Linked DNA regions of Canis lupus familiaris. The main gene of each other region encodes a partner of the protein of the gene in region 2 in a complex. Links are inferred from orthologs where the notes say so. Each region holds a gene or a part of one and is shown on either strand. Other genes may lie near its edges. The genes, in order: KCNE3 and KCNQ1.

Region 1 (4,264 bases), on a different chromosome or scaffold from region 2:
TGTCTTACCTCCTAGTAGGTATTTGGAACATCCATGCATTTAGTTTATGGATAGAAATGTGTTTTGAGATGTGTGGACTTAGTGAGGGATGAAGAAGGTTGTTGGCTATCATAAGGAGTCAAGAAAATCTGAAAGCAGTTCCCATGCCTCAAGCAGGGGTCTCCTCCATTTGGAACCAGCAAAGAGGATGGATCTCAGGAGATAATGAAGAGCTTACACATTTACCACGCATCTTTGTAGGTAAAATGGAGATACCCCTGGACTCGAAGTGAGGAGACTTGGGCTCTGCTTCTCCTGGTATGTCCCTGGGCAAGCTATGCCCCCCCCCCGGGCCTCAGTTTCCCCACACACAAATTGGTGAAGAGTGGGGAGGAGGGATAGGAGGAGATGCTCTTCACGGACCCTCACACAAGGGTCTGTCTGAACTCATCTGCTTTCTAAATAAAAGAATCCCAAGTCCAGACCTTGTTCCTCTCATGTCACATGGAGTGTACAGGCAACTGGACTAAGAGGCTCATTTTATAGGTAGTGACCCAGGCAAAGAAAGTACAAGGCGTACAGTAGGAGACTTGCACGGGTTTACACAATCTGTAAAATAGAACCCGGTCTCCTGACTCCTAGCCTACACCTCTGTTACTAGCAGGAGAAGGCGTCTTTGGGAGTCCCCAGGCGCGGGGCACAATGCAATAGCGAATGGGCAAGTCGGCTCCGGCTCCGCAGAGCAAGCAGCTCCCGCCAAACAAGAAGACCGCGCAGGGTCCGAAGGCCATTTCTGCGCGTGCATTCGCTGCGGCCCCGCGGGTGTTCGCATGCATACCTGTGGACGTGGAAAGAGCTTTCAAGCCTCCCTCCTGAAGCCTCTGAGTGCCGGTGCAAACCCCCGTGGCTTTCAGGCTGGAACTGCCAGGCTCCCAGCTCTGCACTCCCACGCGGGGCCCTGGGATCCCTGCACCTCAGTTCTGTGAGCCGTCCCCCACCTCCGGTCGGGGTTCTCAACGGAGTCGGGTAGACCCCTAACTTCCATCCCCCGCTGCAGCGCAGCCTTCCCGACCCTGCCAGTGCGCCTTACCTGCCTCTTGGCAAGACTCCGAGGGGCGCCGGTCTCTAGATAGTACCCCGCACTCTGTGCCCCTGGGTGCCCCCCGCACAGCAACCCTCCGCGCTGGGTCTGCCTGTCTGCACAGTCTGCGTCCCGACCTGCCCTCTGCTCCCTTTAACCTTTCCCAGGGCGCCTCCTCCCCCGGCCCCGCCCGGCCCCCAGCACACCCACTTCTCCCCAGGCTGGTTTCGGGCGCCTCCGCCCAGAGCTACTTGGCCCCACACGGCCGGCCGGCCGGCTGTGGGCTCCGACCCTTCCGTCCCCTGCAGCGCCTGCTTCCTGGACCGGAGACCGAGTGCCTCTCACTTGGCTTCAGCTCGCCCAGCCTCAGGCTGATCTAAACGCAAGGCTGAGCGTTGGGTGTTGGTGGAATTAGGCTTTGCTCCTAAGTGGCTGTGTGGTGGTTGGCAAATCACTGCTCCTCACTGGGCCATAGCTTCTTCGCTGTAAAATGGGTAAAATTCGTGCTTCGCACGGCGTTGGTTTGGGTTAGTTGAGATCGTAGAATGCAAACATTAAAGCCGATGGTCACTGGAGAAATCACCTGATTCTAACACAAGCCATCTTTTCCAGACAGAATGCAGGGGCCCAGTTTGGGGAAGAACTTGCCCAGGCTCCCAACAGCACAGTGGCGGGGTTCAGACTCAGAATTCACTATGCCACTTTTCTCTTCTTCACCCCAGCTAATGTCTCCTCCTTCTAAGTCTCAACACTCTTCACATGCCCTGAAAACTGTTGTCCAGCATACCTCACTGGTCCTGGCCCCAGAACACTCTGCACTTTCTGGCCACCAGGCCCTCCCTCACACTATTGCTTTCTTGCTGGTGACACTACAGGCTCTAGAAAGACAAACAGCCAGGGAAAGCTGGGAAGTCAGGGCGGTTCTATAGGCAGAGGAGTGGACAAGTGGCAGGGAAAGCCCCTGAGGGACTCTGTGGGAGTCCTTATCAGAGCCCTTTTTAACAACCTCCTACTTTGGCATAATTATTAATAAACTGAGGCCAGCTCTCATTCCCTTGCAAACAAAGATGTGTTCCAGAATATCTGAAGCACGTACCCTTATCATAGAATCTCAGATTATATGTAAGAAGTGCTATCATTTTAAAAAGACCCACTGCATGGACAGAATGCCATACAAAATTGCTATTCTTTATCAAAGCACGTTACTTCCCTGTTATTTCTGTGGTTACATATTTTGACCCACTTACACCTTTTGCTCAATCACCTCTCAAGGAAGAAGTCATCCTGACCCTGGGCATGAAGTATCAAATTTCAGTCTGCCTAAGAATCACCTCAGAGCTCATTCTGGTAAAGTAGACTTTTGGGTCCCTCTCCAGAGGTTCTGATCCAAGAGACCTGGAATGAAGCTCAGAAATTTAACATTTAAAAAAAAGTTTCCCTGGCAGCCCGGGTGGCTCAGCGGTTTAGCGCCGCCTTTGGCCCAGGATATGATCCTGGAGACCTGGGATGGGGTCCCACGTTGGGCTCCCTACATGGAGCCTGCTTCTCCCTCTGCCTGTGTCTCTGCCTCTCTCTCTCTCTCTGTGTCTCTCATGAATAAATAGATAAAATCTTAAAAAAAATAAAAAAGTTTCCCACCTGATTCTGATGCCAGTGGTTCTTAAGATCAGCCCTGAGGAACCAGCCCAGGCTAAGGTATGGCTCCTTCTTCCATTCTACCCAGAGCCTTGAATTTACCGTATAGGACTATTTACTATAGTTATCAAAAGTAACTATTTGCCCACTTCATCTACTAGATTGTGAGTTCTTTGAAGATAGAGATTTAGAATCATAGTCTTAGAATCACACCGTCTTAGAGTTCTAGAGTCTTTTAGTGATAGAATCTAAGTTGGAAGGACTCTTAAAATTATCTGATCAAATCCCTTACCTAAAAATCCCCTATATTTGATTTTTAACATGAGACTGTCCAGCTTCTCCTGTATACCTTGAGTGACAAGGAGTTATTGCTTCCAAGGCAGCCAAGGTTGTTGTTGTTGTTGTTGTTGTTGTTGTTGTTGTTGTTGTTCTTCTTCTTCTTCTTCTTCTTCTTCTTCCTCTTCTTCTTCTTCCTCTTCTTCTTCTTCTTTCTTCTTCTTCTTCTTCTTCTTCTTCTTCTTCTTCTTCTTCTTCTTCTTCTTCTTCTTCTTCTTGTATATGTTTTTATTGGAGTTCGATTTGCCAACATATAGCTTAACACCCAGTGCTCATACCGTCAAGTGCCCCCCTCAGTGCCTGTCACCCAGTCACCCCATCCCCCTGCCCGCCTCCCCTTCCACCACTCCTTGTTCATTTCCCAGAGTTAGGAGTTTCTCATGTTGTCACTCTCACTGAGATTTCCCACTCATTTTCTCTCCTTTCCCCTATAATCCCTTTCATTATTTTTTATATTCCCCAAATTAATGAGATCATATAATGTTTGTCCTCCAATTGACTTACTTCACTCAGCATAATAGCCTCCAGTTCCATCCATGTTGAAGCAAATGGTGGGTATTTGTCTTTTCTAATGGCTGAGTAAAATTCCATTGTATATATAGACCACATCTTCTTATCCATTCATCCTTTGATGGCAGCCAAGGTTCTGATTGTTAGGATGTTTTCATGTTTTAACAAAAATTGCCTCCTTGTTACTTCTACCCTTTGGTCCTTGTGCCCACTGGAGATATAAAGTATGTGCCTAATTTTTTTGTTCCCGTTTTTTGGTTCTTCAGAGACTTAAGACCTGTCTTCCACTTCCCTTTCTCTGGAGTGAGGATGGAGCAAGAACTCTGTTAGGGAAGCTAACTGGCTAAGGGGTTCTTAGAAAGTGGACTGAGCTGCCTCATTTTCTTTATCTGTGATTTGCGGGTTTGCTACAAGGCTTAGATGACCCAATGTGTGTAATAGGCCTAGGTTGGGCCCAGCATAATGCATGTCCTTCATAAATGACAGCTCTTATTATTATTAGATGAGAAAAGATGGAACAGGATTCCTGTCATAGGGAGACCATAGTCTGAGAACTATCTTCAGGAACAGTCTAATACAAAAAAGTTGGAGACAAGGCCCGGACCTTAGGACAGGTTGGGCCAGGGTGTGGGGTGGGATGGACTGACTGAAGGGGTCAGGGGAAGACTCACCTGGAGATACACCTCCTTCAAGTCTTTAGTTAAGTCTTAGCTGAGGTCTTCC
Region 2 (3,805 bases):
TCGGGGGCCAAGTGCCGGCACGGTCGCAGGCAGACAGGGAGGGCCGTGGCGTGGTGATGCTGCCGGGGGCCCCGTGGGGGGCTCAGCACAGGCGCTGCCCGGGAGCTCAGGCTGAGGGGCGGGCGGACAGGTAAACGTCCAAGAGTGCACCAGGGCACGTGCTGACAAGGGCCGCAGAGCGACGGCATGTGGGGGGGGGGCAGCAGGGGCTGGTGAAGACCCCTCTGAGGAGGTGACTGGGAGGAGGTGGAGGGGTCTGGGAGGGAACAGAGAGTGCAGGGGCTTTGGGGGCAGCTGGCACCCGGGAGAGCTGGGCACCCCCAAGCGGGAGTGGGCACCACCCTCATTCAGCATGCCACCCGAAGCCTGTCCGAATCCCCTGCACACCAACCTCAAGACCCTCTTCCCCGAGCTGGGATGCCACCTCTGACCTGACAGACACCCACTGTGCCCAGCCTGACACCAGGGCCCTCTCCAGAGCCTTCTCTCCCACCACTGGCCAGAGCCCAGCTCATCCTGCTCCTGGGGCTGCTCCTAGGGGCCTCGAGCCATGGGGACACTGGGGCTGCAAGGCCTGGCACAGATGCACCCCCGCCCCAGGGCCTGTAGTGGTGATGCCCCAATGTGGGCTCAGATGAAACCCTAGGTCAAACCCTGCCCAGGAGCCGTGGCCCCCGAAGCCTCCCCACCCACTAATCACTAATGGGGATCCCATCCACCTGCAGGTGCAGATGGGGGCCGTTACCATGACAGACTTCTTGGGCTTGGGGCTGGGAGAGAGCAGGGCATGGCTCCGGGCGGGCTTCCGGACGTAGATCTTCCAGGTGGAAGAGTCGGGGTTCTCGGCCGCGTAGCACCTCCACGCCGTCTGAACCAGCACAAGAGAGAGGCAGTCAGCTACCCGCTGGGCCTCCCGTGGGAGCTGCAGCTCCCCCATCCTGCCCACACCCCATCCTGCATGCCAGCCCCCCATCTCCTATGGCTGATCCTGCACCAGGCAGCCTCACGTGCTGGCTGGTACTCACAGCTCAGACATCACAGAGGCCCTCACCTGTGAGCACCGATGCACCTGCCAGCATCTCCCCAACCTGTCCCTCCCACAGATGCACAGACACCCATGGCTGCCTCTCCTTGGGGCTTGCACGGCGAGTGCAGGGATGGCCACAGAAACCAAGGGCGCCCCGGGCTGTGGGCACCAGGCAGGAGGGCCTGGGAAACAAGGCCCCTCCCAGAGGCCCAAATGTGGGCTCCCAGCACCGGACACCGTCCGTAGCCGTGGGGAGCCTCTTGATGTCATGCGGGTGCAGAAGGCCTTGGGCCTATGCTCTAGAGAGATGCCCCTGTGGCCACCACGCAGGGAGGAAGTGATGCCACAGCAGGGGATCCGAGGGGAGGACACGCCATGTCTGAGTGGGCAGTGGGGGACCGGTGGGGTGCCAGGAGCCTCAGATGAGGACGCATCCTAGTGGTGTGGCTGGCCACGGGGCTGGCAGGGCTCCCGGGGAGCCGTGACATCACCCACGATGGGGACCTGGGCAGGCCTGGCCACCTTCATGCCGTCCATGGGACAGGCCACAGGCCTGGCCCCTCCGAGGCTGACTCACCACGTCCACTTCCCACCTTCCCCAGCAGTGGGCATGTGTCCTGCCCACAAACGTATGGCCTGGCCACTACACGTCCCACACCCTGGGGCCCTGGTCCTCCTGTGGCGGGCACGTCTGCACTCCCATGAACATTCCACTCAGACCTGGTCTTTTGCAGGGGTGCTTGCCCCTAAGGCCCAAGGCTCAGCGAGGAACCCGCCACGCTCCCCTCCCACAACAGTCTGCCCACAGCGGCCTGGGCTGGTTTTACGGCCTGATTTATGGTCTCCCCGAAAGGAGAAGGCTGTGGGGCTGTAAAACCAGGCCTGAGGGGGCCCAGCCCCTCGGCTTTATGGCCCCTATTTCCTTCCCGTCCAGGTACACCGTCCAGGCCCCAGACAGTGGGTTCCGGAAGGGCTTCAGAGGGATGAGGGGAGCCCCTGGTTGAGCTGAGGCTCCCAGGTGGAGCAGCGCTTGATGGTGGCCACCCCTCATGGGGCCCTGCCTGGGGCAGAGGGCGCAGGAGACCAGGCCACAGGGGTGACCCAGGGGAGCATCCAGTGCTGGATACAGCTGCCCTGCTGGGCAGAGGGTCCCATATCCGCGGGTGGATGATGCTGAGCCCCAGGACCCTCTGGGACCCAGTTTGCAAATGGTTATCCGCCTGAGTCTTTGTGTGCATTAAAAGGCTCAGCGAGCCTCTGGTGTGTCCAGGAGCTTGGGTCAGAGAGCAGAGCGGAACATCCAGGAACTCAGGACCCCCCCCTTCCCCATTGCTCTTAGGCTTTGCTGCCACCAGCCCCCCAGGCTTGTCACAGCCTCCCTAGGGTCCCCATCAGGCACCAAGGGGCCCGTGAATCCAGACGGCAGCCATGCTATCGGCTCACCAGTCCTCACCTGCTGCCACCGGGGAGTCCTGAGCCCCGTGCAGTGCCAGGGACACTCAGAAGTGCCCATGCTGCATAAGCAGAGCCCTAGCCACCCTGGGACATGGCCACACAGGGACCCTTCCCCTTTGCCTCCCAGACCTGCTCCAGTGCAGAGCAGAGGGGTGGCCACAGGAGGAGAACGAGGAACAAGACGCCAAGGCTGGCCACTGTGGTTGAGAGGTGAGGGGCCCACAGAAAGACCACCCCACCCCGGGACTGGCCAGGGCACATCCTGGCCCCCTGGCCTGCTCAGATGTGACTTCCCACAGAACCCTCGAGGAAGGGATATGGGCGCCCCGCGCTCCAGTGCCCACCCTGTCAGACCACCTGCATGTCCCAGGAGAAGGCACGACGGGTGTGTACGTCTGTGTTGCCAAATCAGCTCATCTATGTTCCAGAAGGATCCGCACTGAGCTTCACGGCCAAGAGCAGTTCCCAGTTCTGGATCCCCAGAACGGACACTAGCTTGTGTTCACCCGCAGACGCGAGACTGGCCATCACAATGGCAGGTGCCGTCACCTGAATGAGCGAGGCTGCCGCCGGGATCTGCCTATTGAAGTGCTTCTGTCTCTGCTTCTGCTGGACCTTTAGGGCGAAGCCAGAGCCGAGAATCCCCTGGGGAGGAGCAGAGGCCAGGGTTCACGTCCACGCAGGCAGCCACTGCCTGGCCGGCCTGTGGGACACGGGAACTAGGGAGACAGTGCGGGTGTCGGGGAGACAGGGTGGGCAGAAGGTAGCCCTGTGGGAGGGTGTGCAGCTGCATCCCTGGATGGACAATGGGATGGACAGGACCCACTCGTCAGGGAGGGAGCTCCCCATCCACCTAGGGGATCAATCATACATGCACACACACATACTGTACAGCACGTGGGCAAACACTGTAGACACACAACCCAAATGCACATACTATACACACAGCACACACGAGAGGTGCACACGTACTGCATGAGTTTATATGTAGGTGACACATATACACACAGAACACGGACATGTGTCCACATGCAACACACAATACGTGGTGTGTGTATGTGACTCGTGCACATAGTAACACATCATACATATGCCCACGTGTGTCCATGAGGACACATGTAACACACACACACCTATGTGCACACACTGGGAATGGGGAGGTATAACCCTCACGGTGATTTCTGGGGAGGACCTGGCCTGGCCTGGCCAGGCCTCACCAGGCACACAGCCTCTGCCTCTGCCTTCATGCGGCAGCTGCTACTGGTGTCTCCCCGTGGCCCCTGGGGCTGAATATGCCGGCCTGCACCCCGCTGTCTGCTACCA

The links.
Region 1: the proteins of KCNQ1 (region 2) and KCNE3 are in contact, whole or in part, in a cryo-EM structure (PDB 6V01), measured with the Homo sapiens proteins. The link is inferred for Canis lupus familiaris from reciprocal best matches to the Homo sapiens genes KCNQ1 and KCNE3. Residues at the interface, in NP_000209.2 of Homo sapiens: Arg116, Pro117, Thr118, Gly119, Trp120, Cys122, Phe123, His126, Phe127, Phe130, Leu134, Leu137, Ile138, Val141, Leu142, Ile145, Gln147, Tyr148, Arg181, Met238, Val241, Asp242, Gln244, Thr247, Lys362, Asn365, Ile368; in NP_005463.1 of Homo sapiens: Asp54, Asp55, Asn56, Ser57, Tyr58, Ile61, Met65, Phe68, Ala69, Val72, Gly73, Leu75, Ile76, Leu77, Tyr79, Thr80, Arg81, Ser82, Arg83, Val85, Lys87, Asp90.

What each region holds. Positions count from the first base shown.
Region 1 is NC_049242.1:23,974,100-23,978,363, reverse strand, and holds the start of KCNE3 (potassium voltage-gated channel subfamily E member 3), read right to left. Parts: upstream 2,878-4,264; 5' UTR 2,699-2,877; intron 1,567-2,698; 5' UTR 1,271-1,566; intron 1,226-1,270; exon of another isoform or gene 1,070-1,225; intron 1-1,069. UniProt on the Homo sapiens protein: Ancillary protein that functions as a regulatory subunit of the voltage-gated potassium (Kv) channel complex composed of pore-forming and potassium-conducting alpha subunits and of regulatory beta subunits.
Region 2 is NC_049239.1:47,055,898-47,059,702, reverse strand, and holds part of KCNQ1 (potassium voltage-gated channel subfamily KQT member 1), read right to left. Parts: intron 3,128-3,805; coding exon 3,032-3,127; intron 869-3,031; coding exon 746-868; intron 1-745. UniProt on the Homo sapiens protein: Pore-forming subunit of the voltage-gated potassium (Kv) channel involved in the regulation of cardiomyocyte excitability and important in normal development and functions of myocardium, inner ear, stomach and colon.